3 linked regions of the Saccharomyces cerevisiae S288C genome follow. Changing the gene in region 1 together with any one later gene gives a genetic interaction. Each region holds a gene or a part of one and is shown in the gene's direction. Other genes may lie near its edges. The genes, in order: FLO11, ECM7 and UGA3.

Region 1 (8,204 bases):
ATCGAGAGACCAAAAAGGTTCTCAATGGCGCCTTTTTAGTGTCATACCATTCTTTTTTACTACCTAGGATCATCGACAATGATTTTAGAGTTTTAAAATTTGCTTTGCGGCAATACAAATCTATAGCCGGGATCACCGACCTTGTTATATTCTTCGGAGACATCTTTAGAGTAACCACAGATATTCAATACCAACCTATACTTCCATTGCTGCTTGTCTCACATCTAAACTTCGCCGTTTAGCGAGTTTTCATAATTTTTCACTTACCAGCACTTTTTCATTTTTCCCTTTTCCGTTGTTGAAACGGATCAAAGTTTGGAATAATAAGGATACAAAACGCCAAAAGAATGCGAACTTTCAAGCGTGGAAAAGTATCGAAAGACATTCATTCAAAAGATTCTAACGTGATTATCGTAAATAGCTGGAATTGTAGATATTTACAATGACATAGATCATTTTTCTTCGACGAAATTACGGCCTAATGTCGAGACAAGAATAATATGACGCTGATCTGTGTTTTGACAAGAATATGAATGATCTTAAGAAAAGGTTTCGCTGAATCAATTGGAAGACAGCGTCTTCAATTGTCCTACTAAATTCTTTACAGATGACATCTGGGTCTGGGGAGATCATGCAAAAAAATAAGACATCATTTATAACTTTCAACCTTCCGCTCACAGGACAAATTCTCGAAGACGCTACGGAAAGATGCTGAGCTTGATCATAATTCTTCAGGCTCCCAATTCAAGAATACAATTACTTAGCGTGGGTGCTTCTGCTCAGTCTTCGTTTCCTATCTCCACATACCAATCACTCGTTTGTTACTAATTCGAATAATTTACTGCTGTAAGGAGTCGTACCGCCAACTAAATCTGAATAACAATTTGGCTGCTAGAAGTTAAAAAGTAGGCGCTGCAATGATTATGTGGTATGATCAGATTGTGTCGCAACGCTCAGCGGGGTTTTGGCTCAATGGGACCGCTGCTAATAAAACGTTTAACTAGCGAATTTTGGAACACACCGGTTGACAAAAGTATAAGGAGTCTCTTTCCGTGAGTTCCCCTCTTCCTCTCACTGCACTTCAACTATGCCTTATAGCAACCAAGAAGCTAGAAAATGCCAACTATTAAAAAGATAACCTCTTTGGAAGCAAATAAAACGGAGATTATCTTGGGATCTATTTCACAAATTTACGGCTAATTGGAATGAACAGCGCCAAGTAGCACTGGTCAAACTGCAGAGAGTATTAGAACTTGCTTTATTCCGTATATCGTACTTTAGGTCGTCAGTTTTACCACTTCGGTACGCAAATGAAAATGAAAAGCTCATTCACAACTTAGACACAATTTCGCCGTTTACAAGTAGCTGAAAAGTCCATCTATCGAATTATGAATGATACTATTTTAAATATAGTCGTTGCTGCACTCGTTTTCCATGTTCTTTTTATCCACACATCCGATGTTTTACTTACAGTTGAGCATCTCAGGGCCAGCGACAAATATAAACATATTATACTCAAAATGAAGCTCGTTGAAAAGAGGATATTTCTTAACCTCTTTTACAGTGCTTTCAACACCTTTTCATCTGTGTGCCATGTCAGATTAAGGATGCTCAACTTTTCGAATTATTATTACAAATTTCAAAGAAATTACTAGTCCTTTTTGTCCCCTAATGTATCCCTCATTTCATACCGTCGTTTTGGGGTTCCAACTACGTATAGCTTTCAAGTGTGGTTTTACGGTAAGAACAACCCCCCATCGGTTAGTGCGGAATACTTTCCTATTCTCATCGAGAGCCGAGCCATACACCTAAGGTGGACAGAAAGCTAAAATTCCAAAACAGAAAAATCTAACATCTTTGCTCCCTTACAAGTAGGAACGCTAGCGTATCAACCCATCTCCAGATTTGCCCAGCATTTCTGTAGAACACCCAATGCGAATGAAGACTAATGAATATTGTAAAGACAAAAAATAGGAAAAGTTTAATTAGTGATGGTTCTCACCACCCCAAAACGGTCACTTGCATGCATTGAGGACATGCACCTGCAGTACTTGTTTTTCTCGAATGTTTTTTACCATCTCTTTTTTCCTTATCTGAGCTGCTGACGCAGACGGACATTGTTTCATATTTCGAAAGCTGTGCGGGAAAACGGACCCTAACACGAATGTGAATGCGCTAATCGGTATTTCCACCACATGAAACCTGCTACTTTTTCAGTCCTCTTCGTATGCATTTCCCAAAATTCATTCGTAGCCTTGTCAACTTAGACTCAGTTCCACGGCGTGCAGGACGGGGTATTATGAATAAAAGGATCCACGGGTGAGATTTGTTTTATGTTTTAGGTATGGAGTTTTGTACCACAAAACTTTAGGAATACCGGATTGTGTGCCTACGCCAGCCCCAGAGTATGTTCTCACAGCTGTAATTCCTAGTGATCTTTTCCTGACTCCAATAGGAACGCCGGTAGGCAAATTAAACTTTCGCGGCAGGAAAAAAAAGGCTTTTTCTTTTTTGCCTTTCAGTTTCTCGGAATGTGGCATTACATAAGCATAATCCTTTTTGGGTGTGCCTGGAAAGTTCAAATTAAGGTTTTTTTCTTCTGTTTTCTTAACAAGAAAATGTCGCCCAAAGAGTTTCGGCCGTTATTTTCCTATCGAGTGGGTCCTTTTTGTCTTTAGTCCTTCTCTGGGGCTAGCGATCACTGCAAAATTAGGCTTTACTGGTACGAGTTAACTTTTTTTCTTTTTTTTGTCATCCTTTTCTTTGGGGCTAAGAATGGACTTCCCTTTTCTTTTTCTTTGTTGCGACAGTGGCTTCAAAGAACTGCTGATTGCTCAAGGCAATCAGTCCGAGCGTTTAGAAGGTGATTGTAGGCAGAAATTAACTTTGCGGTAAAAGAATGACATTCTTTCTTAAAAGAAAAATTAGCTTTTTTTTGTCAGGCATTGCACAAACTTTTTTATTTCTGCCTATACTCTTAAACAGATCAGTCATTCATGTTGTCTTTTTAACGGTCGTACTGGGACATCGCATACCTTGGGATTCCGTAATTAGGTGCAACAATACGGGCACAACTCATTCTGCGGTATCTTCACGGACAGAACTTCTATTGCCTATCGGTGGTGTGATTAACAATTGGAAGCGCAGAGCTTGGAATGGATTTTCAATTCAATGGATTTGGAGGTATTCGTTTGTTTACTAATATTTACTTTGAGGACATTGCCCAACCCTAAAAGTGCCTGCTCAAGAATAGAATAACATTATGATACGTTTTCTTGACCGCTGAGCAATTTAAAGCAACTATTAGGGTACGATTGTTTCTAGAGAAATGTGGGTCATCTTTTTAGGTCCGTTCTCTTCTGATGAGGTAACCTTTACAAAAATGTCATAGAGTTACCAATTGGGATTCAAGGCATCATCGCAATATACTTCGTTCTTTTACGGAGAAATTAAGCTCTTTCTACTTTGAATTAACTGTTAGACTTGTCTTATCTGAGGAATGTCCGTGTTCGAATTAAATAAAAAATTAGGGCAGTTTTATTTACCTTAACAAATATGTTCAAGCATTTACGTTACTGCGCTCTCTTCTAGTTCAAGAACGGATAACTCATAGACTTACCAGTACAAATTGTTGAAGGGTTCCCAATTGATAAAAAGGATCTCTTGCTTCCTAAAATAAACGTATAAAAAGCACCCTATTCATCAGTTATTATCCCTCGTCATGTTGTGGTTCTAATTAAAATATACTTTTGTAGGCCTCAAAAATCCATATACGCACACTATGCAAAGACCATTTCTACTCGCTTATTTGGTCCTTTCGCTTCTATTTAACTCGGCTTTGGGTTTTCCAACTGCACTAGTTCCAAGAGGATCCTCCGAAGGAACTAGCTGTAATTCTATCGTTAATGGCTGTCCCAACTTAGACTTCAATTGGCACATGGACCAGCAAAATATCATGCAGTATACTTTGGATGTGACTTCCGTTTCTTGGGTTCAAGACAACACATACCAAATCACTATTCATGTCAAAGGTAAAGAAAATATTGACCTGAAGTATCTATGGTCTTTGAAAATCATTGGTGTCACTGGTCCAAAAGGTACCGTCCAACTATACGGTTACAACGAAAATACCTATTTGATTGACAACCCAACTGATTTCACAGCCACTTTTGAAGTTTATGCCACACAAGATGTCAACAGCTGTCAGGTGTGGATGCCTAACTTCCAAATTCAATTCGAGTATTTGCAAGGTAGTGCCGCTCAATATGCAAGCTCCTGGCAATGGGGAACTACATCTTTTGATTTGTCTACTGGTTGTAACAACTATGACAATCAAGGCCACTCTCAAACGGATTTCCCAGGCTTCTATTGGAACATAGATTGTGACAATAATTGTGGCGGTACGAAGTCATCTACCACTACATCTAGCACTTCCGAGTCATCTACCACTACATCTAGCACTTCCGAGTCATCTACCACTACATCTAGCACTTCCGAGTCATCTACCACTACATCTAGCACTTCCGAGTCATCTACATCATCATCAACCACCGCTCCTGCTACACCAACCACTACCTCATGCACTAAGGAAAAGCCTACACCCCCAACCACTACCTCATGCACAAAGGAAAAGCCTACACCTCCTCATCACGACACCACTCCATGTACAAAGAAGAAAACTACCACATCTAAGACATGCACTAAGAAGACTACTACTCCAGTACCAACCCCATCAAGCTCTACTACTGAAAGTTCTTCTGCTCCAGTACCAACTCCATCCAGCTCTACTACTGAAAGCTCTTCTGCTCCAGTAACCAGCTCTACCACTGAAAGCTCTTCTGCTCCAGTACCAACCCCATCAAGCTCTACTACTGAAAGCTCTTCTGCTCCAGTAACCAGCTCTACCACTGAAAGCTCTTCTGCTCCAGTAACCAGCTCTACCACTGAAAGCTCTTCTGCTCCAGTACCAACTCCATCCAGCTCTACTACTGAAAGCTCTTCTGCTCCAGTAACCAGCTCTACCACTGAAAGCTCTTCTGCTCCAGTAACCAGCTCTACCACTGAAAGCTCTTCTGCTCCAGTAACCAGCTCTACCACTGAAAGCTCTTCTGCTCCAGTAACCAGCTCTACCACTGAAAGCTCTTCTGCTCCAGTACCAACTCCATCCAGCTCTACTACTGAAAGCTCTTCTGCTCCAGTAACCAGCTCTACCACTGAAAGCTCTTCTGCTCCAGTACCAACTCCATCCAGCTCTACTACTGAAAGCTCTTCTGCTCCAGTAACCAGCTCTACCACTGAAAGCTCTTCTGCTCCAGTACCAACTCCATCCAGCTCTACTACTGAAAGCTCTTCTGCTCCAGCTCCAACCCCATCAAGCTCCACCACTGAAAGCTCTTCTGCTCCAGTAACCAGCTCTACCACTGAAAGCTCTTCTGCTCCAGTACCAACTCCATCCAGCTCTACTACTGAAAGCTCTTCTACTCCAGTAACCAGCTCCACCACTGAAAGCTCTTCTGCTCCAGTGCCAACTCCATCAAGCTCTACTACTGAAAGCTCTTCTGCTCCAGTACCAACTCCATCAAGCTCTACTACTGAAAGCTCTTCTGCTCCAGCTCCAACCCCATCAAGCTCTACTACTGAAAGCTCTTCTGCTCCAGTAACCAGCTCTACCACTGAAAGCTCTTCTGCTCCAGTACCAACTCCATCCAGCTCTACTACTGAAAGCTCTTCTGCTCCAGTACCAACCCCATCCAGCTCTACTACTGAAAGCTCTTCTGCTCCAGTACCAACTCCATCCAGCTCTACTACTGAAAGCTCTTCTGCTCCAGTAACCAGCTCTACCACTGAAAGCTCTTCTGCTCCAGTAACCAGCTCTACCACTGAAAGCTCTTCTGCTCCAGTACCAACTCCATCCAGCTCTACTACTGAAAGCTCTTCTGCTCCAGTACCAACTCCATCCAGCTCTACTACTGAAAGCTCTTCTGCTCCAGTACCAACTCCATCCAGCTCTACTACTGAAAGCTCTTCTGCTCCAGTAACCAGCTCTACCACTGAAAGCTCTTCTGCTCCAGTACCAACTCCATCCAGCTCTACTACTGAAAGCTCTTCTGCTCCAGTGCCAACTCCATCCAGCTCTACTACCGAAAGCTCTTCTGCTCCAGTACCAACCCCATCAAGCTCTACTACTGAAAGCTCTGTAGCACCAGTACCAACCCCATCTTCCTCTAGCAACATCACTTCCTCCGCTCCATCTTCAACCCCATTCAGCTCTAGCACTGAAAGCTCTTCTGTTCCAGTACCAACCCCATCAAGCTCTACTACTGAAAGCTCTTCTGCTCCAGTATCCAGCTCCACCACTGAAAGCTCTGTAGCACCAGTACCAACCCCATCTTCCTCTAGCAACATCACTTCCTCCGCTCCATCTTCAATTCCATTCAGCTCTACTACTGAAAGCTTTTCTACTGGCACTACTGTCACTCCATCATCATCCAAATACCCTGGCAGTCAAACAGAAACCTCTGTTTCTTCTACAACCGAAACTACCATTGTTCCAACTAAAACTACGACTTCTGTCACTACACCATCAACAACCACTATTACCACTACGGTTTGCTCTACAGGAACAAACTCTGCCGGTGAAACTACCTCTGGATGCTCTCCAAAGACCGTTACAACTACTGTTCCAACTACAACTACGACTTCTGTCACTACATCATCAACAACCACTATTACTACTACAGTTTGCTCTACAGGAACAAACTCTGCCGGTGAAACTACCTCTGGATGCTCTCCAAAGACCATTACAACTACTGTTCCATGTTCAACCAGTCCAAGCGAAACCGCCTCGGAATCAACAACCACTTCACCTACCACACCTGTAACTACAGTTGTCTCAACCACCGTCGTTACTACTGAGTATTCTACTAGTACAAAACCAGGTGGTGAAATTACAACTACATTTGTCACCAAAAACATTCCAACCACTTACCTAACCACAATTGCTCCAACTCCATCAGTCACTACGGTTACCAATTTCACCCCAACCACTATTACTACTACGGTTTGCTCTACAGGTACAAACTCTGCCGGTGAAACTACCTCTGGATGCTCTCCAAAGACTGTCACAACCACTGTTCCTTGTTCAACTGGTACTGGCGAATACACTACTGAAGCTACCACCCTTGTTACAACAGCTGTCACAACCACCGTTGTTACCACTGAATCCTCTACGGGTACTAACTCCGCTGGTAAGACGACAACTGGTTACACAACAAAGTCTGTACCAACCACCTATGTAACCACTTTGGCTCCAAGTGCACCAGTAACTCCTGCCACTAATGCCGTACCAACTACAATAACCACTACTGAATGTTCTGCTGCTACAAACGCTGCCGGTGAAACTACATCTGTATGCTCTGCTAAGACTATCGTAAGTTCTGCAAGCGCAGGCGAAAACACTGCACCTTCGGCTACCACCCCTGTCACGACGGCTATTCCAACCACAGTTATTACCACTGAGTCATCTGTTGGTACTAACTCCGCTGGCGAAACAACAACTGGTTACACAACCAAGTCCATCCCAACCACTTACATAACCACTTTGATTCCAGGTTCAAATGGTGCCAAGAATTACGAAACTGTGGCCACAGCAACCAACCCTATTTCAATCAAGACTACATCCCAACTAGCTACAACAGCTTCTGCTTCTAGCGTGGCTCCCGTTGTCACATCTCCATCTCTAACTGGTCCACTACAATCTGCTTCTGGTTCTGCAGTCGCTACATACTCTGTTCCTTCTATCTCGAGTACTTACCAAGGTGCTGCTAATATCAAGGTTCTTGGAAACTTTATGTGGTTGCTACTCGCTCTTCCAGTTGTATTCTAATGATACAATTCCAACATGTTCGTTTCTTCATTACGATGTTTTCATTCTTAAATTAAGATATTATTTCGATACCCTCTTTACTTTCTTCCACCATTCTGTTTTCGCTGCCATAATTTTGTAAGGCAGAAAACTACCCGTAGAATACATATTCATTTACATATTTTTTAGTTCTTCAAAAATTATCTTTTACCTTTTTTTACTTTATTTTACCATTTTTCTTCTAGCCCTATTTTGACCATCTGATAGCTTATTCAAGAACAAGTACCGGTAGTATTGGCACCGCGCCACTTTTCCCTCTCGCTTTTTTTTTTTTTCTTTT
Region 2 (5,664 bases), on another chromosome or scaffold:
AAGATTCTCTAATTGATTCCTCTAAATTTATATCAGCGTTAAAATTTGACAGAATGGTTTCTCTTCCAGATGAAGAGCATGCTTTTCTAAACTTATCCTCAAGGCCTGCAACGTCCAAGCTTGACTGTTCGTCTGTTAATTTGTTCAATTGGGAGGAATCTGTTACTTGATTATCTGGTGCAAACCGGTCTAAAATTATCTGATATTTTTTTTTCAACTTTGACAAAGTAGCGAAATCAATCATCTTTGCATTACCTTTTTCTGGTGTAGGATTTTCGTTCATACTATGAATTTTGGTGTTGCCCCTGGGAATTCCAGGTTTTCCATTTCCGTTCATTTCGTTATCTGTTTCTGTAGTGTAATTTTTAGAAAATTCTTGTGTTTCTTGAATGTGGATTTTTCTAATTTTACTGCTCAATTCGCTTCCGTGAGCGCCACGTCTTTTATTTACTGGTATTATTGCTTCATCAGAACTTTCTGAACTAACTTCATCTGTTTCCTCTTCAAGCCCACCATCATCACTCACTTCTGGATTATTTGCATATACAAAATTCTCTCGGCCGTCAACGAGTTCTGTAGATGTCTTCTCTGGCTTTGACCCAGGTTTACTTGAAAGCACAGATGTTTCATTGTTTGGCTCATAATCGGATTCCTGTTCTGAAGAGTTTATTGGTATTTCCTCTGAAACAATTAGTTCCTTTGATATAGATCTTTTTTGTAAAATTTTCGAAGAATCTGTAGGTGATGTGAGCGCAGAAGGGGACGCCGATGAGATGTTAGGGGAAACAGACTCTTCTTGGGGAGAAATTGAACCATGAGTTGTTGACGTTCCTCGCTGAGACGGTATATTTCCATTATTTACGTCATCATCTGCAGAGGGCTCGATTTTAATTTTTTTCATTGAAGGTTTCTTTGCTAGTCTTTTTGAAGATCTTTCAACTCCCATCTTATGCATCACCTGTCTATTTGTCTTCTGCCCACTCACTGGTACAGATACTCTTTTCAAGTATTCATCAGATTGTTTGGGTTCCATTTCCTTTACTCTTCTTATGATTTGAAAAATATCAATTGGTACAAACTTTTCCGCAGTAGGTTCGCATGCATAACGTACTAGAAAATCTCTATCCTCTATTTTATCGATACTACTATCATTCCATTGTGACTCTGGCAGTATCTGTCCAACTGCAATGAAATCCTTAAGCCAAATCTCTGATAGCTCAGCAGTTAAATATAACTCGCTCTTATTTACTTCGTTGAAAAATTTATCTTTGTAAAATTCTAAAGGATGATCTTCCTTTATTAGATCTGGCCTGAATTGTTCGTAGTACAGTTTTGGTTTGAGTTCAAACCATCTCAAGTAAGAAAAAACCCAAATCTCCACAACATTATTAAGTGTATTGAGTCTGATCTCATGGATCAAGTAGACAGAATATGTTTCCGTCACATTATCATTAAATATCACGCTCTCACCCTTCCCAAAACTCAATCCATCAGAAATTCTTTTCAGAAATACGTTTTCTCCTCCTCTTTTTCTTGATCTTCTTCTATTGTTGTCGTCAATAACCCTCCCCTGATCATCTGTAATGATAACTTGCCAACCGTCCAAATCTTTCAATGTTTTAGCCATTTTAGCTAATCCAATTGTTAGAACAAAACAACTTTCTTAAACCCCTGTAAGGAAGGTGATGAAAGGGCTGCTTATGTGTTTTTCTTTTTCATACTATGTTCATTTTAACTTTTTTGGAAAGAATAGCGTTTTCGCGGTCATATTACTGATGCGATGAAAATTTACAATTATTTCTTTATTTAGATTGATACATAATATGGTTAACTTTAAATACATCTTTTGGACGCCGCATAAACAAACGTCCCGAATACTTTGTTCCCCTGGATTCGTTGTTTGCTTAACACTGTCAACTCTCTACTTAGTTTCATTTACACCATTTCTTTGTGTATCAGTCATTGCGAATACCCTTGCATATCTAATGGATCGAAAATAAATGGTGATGTCAAGAATACGAGATACAATAGCCAGGCCATTCCAGAACCTTACAGCCCTTGAGAAAGTGGTACAGTGGCTAAGATTAGGGACGACATTACTCATAATCTCTTTCGGGTTGGCGTTGACTGTCGGACCCCTTTCTTCGCCAAGAACATTGTACATGTCACGACTGGATACTTACTCTGCTGATATTACGACGGGTTTATTTACCGTGTTGAGAGAGTCTATGGAGCAGTCGACATCTACAGAAGAAAATAACGGTGTAGGCTTAACAACATCCGAACTGTATATATTGACTGCTTACACCGAAAGTCAGATAAAGAATGTTCCTCAGTACATCACAGTGTCGCTTTATGGGAGGTGCGATTCAACATATACCATGGTGGAAGTATTCGACTCTGAAGGAAATATGCATAGCGTAAAGAATTCGACTACTAAGAGTACCTGCAGTAGCATAGGAACGGACTATCTTTTTGATTATCGTGAGGTTTTAGAAAGCTTGGGTTTAGATATCATTTTAGATTATGCATACAACAAAATCGGTTCACAACAGGCAGAAAGTTCTGCATACACGACCTACATGAGGAGTTTAAAACATAAAAAGGCCAACGTGTTACATTTACTCTATGCAGTTATTAGTTTCCAGGTGTGTATGTTATTTTTCATGATATGGTACTACTACATAAAGGGAAGGTTTATGAACGCCCTCAAAGAAAGGGCACTTGTTCATATCAACTCTCTACTATCGCTAGTTGTTTTCATTGGGGGCCTGATAAGTAGCATAAGCCTTGCCTGGGTTAACTACACTATTCAGTCTAGAATTAATACAGAATTAGAGGCCTTCGGGTTTTCTTACCATCTTGGAGTTACATGGTTTGCGCTTCTGTGGTGTTTTGCAGGTTTGATTTCTGTGTCATGCTTAGCTTGGTCTGGCTTAGAATGGTGTATTTCCGATAATGGCACGTCCTATGGAGGTGGAATCGATGATAAATTCTTAGGCTACCAAGCCGGTGTATTTACTGATGCAGATCTAGACGATGAAACTTCTTACAGTCAACGTTATCCGCAACGACAGTCTACTTCGGGCGAGGCTGAACTGATGAGAAACAGTGATACTATGGCAACAATAAGAAAAACATCTGATGTTGACTTAAATAGTGAAAATGATGCTAACACCAGTTTAGACCATGGAAATCCCACCGCAAATATAAGCAATGGCGGCAAACACGAACCATTTGCTACTAGAGAGGAATTCGAATTGCAGGACATAAGATTCCGGTCAAGCAACGACAGTGAAGAAAGTATGCAAAGGGTTATCAAGCCTTCGTCAGCATTACAGTTTTGAATTCTTTCACCCATCATTCAAAATGCATATGCATACTATATTTGTCTAGTTTTTAATTATATAATAATAATAACAGAAACAAAAAATCGCATTCATCGTTTAATCTTATTTTTCTTTTTTCACCTTTTTCTTGTGAAATTGCCAAGCGCTTAAAAAATCGTTATTTCAGAACTAAACATCATTAAGCAACGAAGAAGAGAAAAGCGGAACTATAACCATGAGTGATACTACGGAAGTCCCTAGGCAATCATCTGAGAACGACCAGGATAATAACTTGGAAAGAACCAACTCATTAAAAAGTCCGGACGTGACCAACAATATACCAAGTCTTTTCAAATTAGCCGCCGAATGGCAAATCAACAATCCACAGGAAACCTTCCAAAACCATATCCTGGAAAATGATGTACTCAAGAAAATTAATGAAATCACTCATTTGATCCGGGAATCGTACAAAGACCTCTCCAGTCAAGATGGGATGATGTCCAAACAACAACAGGAAAAGATGGATTGGGATTTGTTTTGTACTGTTCCTGTAAACATTATTGAGCAATATACAAAAGACATGGACGAAATATATGAAAAAATGGAAAGGCTAGCAAAAGTAAGTATAGGTCGAAACTAGGCATCCTGTGCCATCTCAATTTTACTACGTTCTTTTACTAATAATGCAAATTTAATAACAGCAACAACGTCTTTGGTGTGAATCCGCTTTTCAAATAGACGTGGAAAGATGTGGTGACTCCATTCTCAATGCTGAAACGTGGATGAAGAAGAAAGAGCGCCATTTAGAGTACAAAAATATTGAAATGGAAAGATCCGCAAATGAAATTAAGGAAACTATTCAAAGACTAACAGATGATAGATGAGCCATACTCAAATATATCTGCGATATTGCTAATGTTAGCTATTTCTCACATTTGCTTTTTTTGATTTTATTTATTTACTTTTACGACAACTGGCCTTATCACTCGGCTCTCTAAAAGAAGTCATGTTCCCTTCGTTGGGTTAATTTTTTTTTTTTTTTTTTTTGTTTATATGTTTTTTTTTTTTTTGCCAGGTATTGTTAGCGCCAGATAGCAAAAAATTTTATTCAGGGATACTGAACACCGGGGAAGTTAACTGAGTATATCGGTTATCATTATAAACACAAGAATGTAAGCCAGAAAGAAAAATAAACGTCCACCCCTCGAACTTTCACATATAAGCAAGTAAAGAAAAAGTTAACAAAAGGAGGTTCAGAACATGACAATTGAAAGCACTCTAGCTCGGGAATTAGAAAGCTTGATTTTACCCGCTGATTCCATAGTGAATGTAGTTGACCAATTCCAAGAGGAGTTGTTATCACGGCTTCAGACAAATACGATTTCTATGCTCCCGCAGTGTTTAGTCCCAGATAAACGATCGCGATGGAACCCTGAAGACAAAATTCTGACCATTGATTTCGGCGGGACAAGACTGAAATTTGCAATTATCTCTCTGCCCCAAATCGTTATCGAATACAATGATGCCTTCGAACTTACCTACAACATCGTTGATTCGAATTTCTTTAATCAAATCATCTATACAATATGTACCAGGCTGGCTGCAAATGGTTATATAAAAAAAAAGAACGAGTCATCTGAGGCGTCTAAATTTTTTGTTTCCGTGACATTCAGTTTTCCTCTAAATCCAGAAGGGGAGGTAGTTGCAATGGGAAAAGGATTTGTGATGACTGACACCCTTCAAGGATCCACGGTGAAACAGCTCATCCAATCTTCCTTTCACCGGATTATATCAGAAAATATCGAAGAATTTTTCTGTACCATGAACGTGTGTCATGTAATAAACGATGCAATTGCAGTTTCACTAACAAGCAAATTTATATGCGAAAACGATTCCATCTCATTAATAATAGGAACTGGTACAAATGCATGTTTTGAGGTTCCATACGGATATTTACCACCTTTCAAGAGAGATGCCCTGAGAGAAACATTACCGTCAAGCTATAATAAGGAGACATTAAATTTCAAACATGTTCTCATTAATTCTGAAATTGGCTTTATTGGTAAAAATGTCATTGCATTGCAACCGTTTGACATTCATGGAGCAATCTCATACGAAATGCCACTAGAGTGCGTTACTTCTGGTAAATGGCTTCCCCTATCATTAAAAAATATTCTATTGCAATATAACATAATCCCCAAAAACTTCCCAGTAGAGTTCAATGGGGAACTGGTATGCCAGCTGGCAGAAGACTGTACTAATGCTTGGTTCGAAAACGAACATTATGCACTAATTTGTCAGATCGCACGACTATTAATCAAGAGAGCCGCATTTT
Region 3 (4,908 bases), on another chromosome or scaffold:
TTTTTGAACAACCAATGAATTTTCGATAGGAATGACACCTACCTCTGAAGCACAGATAACTCTGTCATCACTAGTGATGTAATAACGACAAGGTCTTAAACCATTTCTATCCAATATAGCACCACAGTAACGTCCATCAGTGAAAGTTAACAAAGCTGGACCATCCCAAGGTTCCATCAGACATGCAGCCCAGTCGTACCATGCTTTTAGGTCAGAATCCATATCCTTATGATACGCTTCAGGAACCATCATCATAACAGCTTCAGGTAGAGATAATGTGCCATTAATAGTCAATAGTTCTAAAACGTTATCCAATGCAGCTGAATCAGAACCACCTTCTTCGATAATTGGGTATAGTTTGTCTAACTCATCTTTGAAAGTTGCTGAATTCATCACACCTTCTCTGGAGCGCATCCAATTCTTGTTACCTCTTAAGGTGTTAATTTCACCATTATGAGCTAGCCAACGTAAAGGTTGAGCTCTATCCCAAGAGGGGAAAGTATTAGTGGAAAATCTTGAATGGACCAACGCCATGTGGGATTTGAAATGCGCATTAGTCAAGTCGGGATAGTAGTTATACACTTGAGCTGGCGTCAATTGACCCTTGTAAACAATGGTGGTATTGTTTAGGGAACAAACATAGAACCAGTTTTCCAGTCCTATTTGAAGAGAGGCCTCCTTCCTTAAAAGATACAATTGAGTTCTAAATTTAGTTTCATTAAACTCCGGTTGTTTTTCATCATACAATGGAACCAATAATGGCTGTAGAATAGTAGGTTCACGAGATAATGCAACGTCTCCTAAAATAGTAGAATCTACGGGGACGTTTCTCCAACCTAATACGGATAAGTTGAAGGATGCAGCTAAATCCTCGAAAATCTTCTGACACTTAATTAAATTTTTCTTGTTATTTTTTTCGTTCTTCTTGAAGAAGACGTTACCTACGGCGTATTTGCCCATCTCAGGTATGTCTAGATCAAGATCTAACTTGAATTCTCTTTTCATAAATTCGTGAGGAATACCTAGCAGAATACCGGCACCGTCACCGTTCCCATCAGATGAGACGGCACCACGATGTGTCATATTCACTAAAAGATATCTAGCGTCAGTAACAATCTTGTGAGACTGTTCACCATGCTTATTTGCTACGAAACCGACACCACAAGCGTCATGTTCATAATCAGGGTCGTAAAGTCCTCGTTTGTCCGGAATCACATTTGCCCAAGATTTATGAAGATGGTGTTCATCGTTATAGTTTTGAATTGTCCCACCTTCGTAAGCTTCTTCCAATGGATCGAAATTGTCTGATTTCAACACTGGCATGCTTTCTTTTCTAATTCTTTTTCTAGTTCTTCAAAATAAATAAATGGCAAATAGATTAAGAAAAAAGAGAGAGTAGAAAGACAAAAATAAATAAAAAAAAACTGAAGCAGAAAAATAAATAAATAAGTTAAACGTTAATCACTACCTCAATGAGCTAAAAGAAGGGGAAGAAAGAGCAACTGAGAGTATCCGTCTGCGTAGTATAGGACTGAGATAGCAATTTCCTATCTTCCTATGATGTGGAGACGATTAGTTTGGTGTGTTATCAAGTAAGATATAAGAATTGATTAATTTGGTAAGAAATGAAACAATAGGACGAAAAATACAATAAGATAAGGAAGACCATCAGAACTTATGAATGACTAAGAAAAGCAGTTTATATTTTTTTTTTGGGCAATTTATTGCTTCTTTTTTTTACGTTTTGCGGGCATCACGTTCGTCGTGACATATGACTTGAAAAATGTGCAAAAGCTTATCGGAGCCAATCGGATTGACGCATTAAAACCGAAGTGTATTAGGACCAAATTTGCGCTGTATAGGGTTGAACGGTAGGGCTACCAGGGTCTGAGTCATCAAAGAAAAAGAAATTACAATAAGAGTCTTACTTAAGATGATATAGAATTGTTGTTATTGTTCATGTATGGATGCCAAGAAAACAAAGTTTTTTAAAGTGAGGTATGAATTATGGCGTGGAGAAGCTGAAATTGAAATATTCGAAGCATGGGTGTATTACTTGCAAGATCAGAAAGAAGAGATGCTCTGAAGATAAACCTGTGTGCCGGGACTGTCGTCGATTAAGTTTTCCCTGTATCTATATATCAGAATCTGTTGATAAGCAGTCTTTGAAAAAAATAAAGGCAGATATACAGCACCAGTTGATCAGCAAGAAAAGAAAGCATGCTCCTGACAGTGCTCAGAAAGCGGCCGTGGCCACCCGTACTCGACGGGTCGGTAGCGACGAACAGGATAACCAGGTATATTTGTCAAAACCGCTGGAAGATTGCATTTCTCAGAAGCTGGACTCTATGGGATTGCAGCTGTACAACTACTACAGGTCTCACCTTGCAAACATAATTTCCATCGCGCCCATGAACCAGAACTACTATCTGAACATTTTCTTGCCAATGGCCCACGAGAATGATGGTATATTGTTTGCTATTCTTGCTTGGTCAGCTAATCATTTGTCTATATCATCATCAAATGAGCTGCGAAAGGATGAAATATTTGTCAACTTGGCGAACAAGTATACATACATGTCGTTATCGCATCTAAAGACAAACGAGGGCTCAAGTGCCTGTGCTAAACTGGGGTTTCTATATTCACTAGCACAAATCCTAATCTTATGTGGTTCAGAGATATGTCAGGGTGATGTGAAATTTTGGAAGATATTATTGAATATAGGAAAAAATTTGATCGAAAACCATGTGGGCAAGGATGTCTCACGGATACTAACCACTACTACAGAAGAACCCTCCCTAGAGGAGAGGATAATCTTCCCCAATTTCAATTCCGTTGTTAAGTACTGGCTGATTGTGAATTTTATATATCATGATATTTTGAATTTCAATACAACGTCCTTCCCGATCGAACAATACGAGAAATTCTTCCAAAGGGATCAGAACTCTTTACCCAGCTCAGCCAACTTTATTGAGTCAATAGACTCGCCAATTGAGGAAATAGACCCTTTAATTGGCATCAACAAGCCTATTTTACTACTATTGGGACAAGTCACAAATTTGACGAGGTTTTTGCAGACTATGGAACAGGAAGAAATGCTAGAGCATGGCGATAAAATTTTGAGTTTGCAAGTCGAGATTTATAAATTACAACCTTCGCTTATGGCGCTGGAACATTTGGATGATGAAAAGAAATTTTACTATTTAGAACTATTCGAGATAATGAAAATTTCTACCTTAATGTTCTTTCAATTAACTTTATTAAAGATTGACAAAGATTCGCTGGAACTACAGATACTGAGAAACAAATTGGACTCGAAGCTAGACAAGGTCATCGGAACTTTTTTGGAAGGATCGTTATGCTTCCCACTTTTCATTTACGGTGTATGCATTCAGGTAGAAGATATGGAGAAAAAAATAGATTTGGAAGCCAAATTTGACGACATTTTAAAACGATATAAATGTTACAATTTCCAAAATGCTAGATTATTGATACGGAAAATTTGGCAAAACGAGGCTGATGGCATCAGTGAGCATGACCTGGTCCACATGATTGACGAATTAGATTACAATATTAATTTTGCCTGAGCAGCATATATTTTCTTTCCCCGCCCCCTGGGTGTCTTAAATTATTGTTTCACCACACAAACATATATATGTTCTTTTTTTTTTTTGTAGGACGTACGGATTCAAAAACAATTTATACCTATACAATGTAGAAATGCTAACGTTGAGACATAGAAGTAATTATTTAATTAACCATTTTAGGTGATTATTTTCAGGGGTGTCCGAGTCCACCTCTACAACATCCACCTGCCCGGTTTGATACCTGTAATCGCCTGTCTTGGAGTCCTCCACAAAGCTTATGCTTCTCTCAGATTTCCTGCGTGGCCTATCCATTATGGCTGCTCCTGCATACGACGTGCCAGTGCCGCCAATCATATCTATATCATGATTGCTTTCCCCGTCGCTTGTACTATCTTCATTCGAGTGGACGTCATGAGCCCATACAGATTTATACCGATTTGCTCTCGGAAATTCATGGCCATCTAGCACTTGTATTCTTTGGTAGTGATCACTATCATTATCCTCGTCACTCTCGTCCCTTTCACAAACGGGGCTTTCCCTTCTCTGCTTTGCAGTCCTTGTTAATTTAGTCTTAGACTTCATTTTAGCTCTTTTATTAGATTTTGTCTTTAATTTGCCCTTGATCTTCAAAATTAACTCATCAAAGTTGTCCTCGTGTGCATCATATACCACCTTATATGATTGTTGGTATTGTGTGGCGAATAAGTCCTGGTTCCAGGCAAAACCTTGACTTTGAGATACAGATATTTTAAAATTTGGCCTTATTTCTGCACTATATGTAAATACCGAACTGGTATTTGAGTATACAATAAGTTTCTCCTTATCCTCCATGACTCTTCAGTAGCGGTTATGAACACGATATAACTATCTGCATTTAACGCTGGTACTGATTTCAATTTATCCTTATCAAATGATACGCTCTTTCCCTTTAAAAAGCGCCCTTACCTCGTTCCGAACGGCGCTAGTAAGAATTTCATCAAATTGCCCTTCTTGTGGGGGGATGCTCATCACAGACTACTGAATATGCATCACAGAAAAGACAAAAAGAACCATTAACATGATTCTGCATATATTTGAATGATTAATCCATGGTATTGATTTAAGGCGGTAAGAAGGAAAATTTAAAATTTGGATATTACCATCTTCTTCTACACTCATATATATTCCTAATTTCCTTTGCATCAGGTCAATCGTGACAGTTGTTGCTTATAAATGCGATTATTTTCTGCGTAATATCCATAATTACTTCAAGAACCCCTTAGGTGACAACCGAAAGTCAGCAGTCACTTAATAGTATTTAGTGTCAGAATTTGTTGGCCTA

Evidence for each region.
Region 2: mutations in FLO11 (region 1) and ECM7 together harm fitness more than expected from each alone (negative genetic interaction), as found in Saccharomyces cerevisiae (2 studies listed by BioGRID).
Region 3: of FLO11 (region 1) and UGA3, changing one suppresses a phenotype caused by changing the other (phenotypic suppression), as found in Saccharomyces cerevisiae (one study listed by BioGRID).

Annotation. Positions count from the first base shown.
Region 1 is NC_001141.2:389,253-397,456, reverse strand, and holds FLO11 (Flo11p), read left to right. Parts: upstream 1-3,781; coding exon 3,782-7,885; downstream 7,886-8,204. Other genes in the region: MRS1 (Mrs1p), read right to left, coding at 1-163; YIR020C (uncharacterized protein), read left to right, coding at 2,900-3,202. UniProt on the Saccharomyces cerevisiae protein: Homophilic binding protein that enables kin discrimination in heterogeneous yeast populations by mediating homotypic cell-cell interactions during flocculation, a reversible and asexual process in which cells adhere to form aggregates (flocs).
Region 2 is NC_001144.5:1,020,625-1,026,288, forward strand, and holds ECM7 (Ecm7p), read left to right. Parts: upstream 1-2,000; coding exon 2,001-3,347; downstream 3,348-5,664. Other genes in the region: chromatin-silencing protein SIR3, read right to left, coding at 1-1,627; GMC2 (Gmc2p), read left to right, coding at 3,565-3,948, 4,031-4,213; NGK1 (hexokinase), read left to right, coding at 4,590-5,664. UniProt on the Saccharomyces cerevisiae protein: May be involved in cell wall organization and biogenesis.
Region 3 is NC_001136.10:154,318-159,225, forward strand, and holds UGA3 (Uga3p), read left to right. Parts: upstream 1-2,000; coding exon 2,001-3,587; downstream 3,588-4,908. Other genes in the region: GLT1 (glutamate synthase (NADH)), read right to left, coding at 1-1,323; UGX2 (Ugx2p), read right to left, coding at 3,747-4,418. UniProt on the Saccharomyces cerevisiae protein: GABA-dependent positive regulation of genes required for catabolism of GABA (UGA4, UGA1, and UGA2).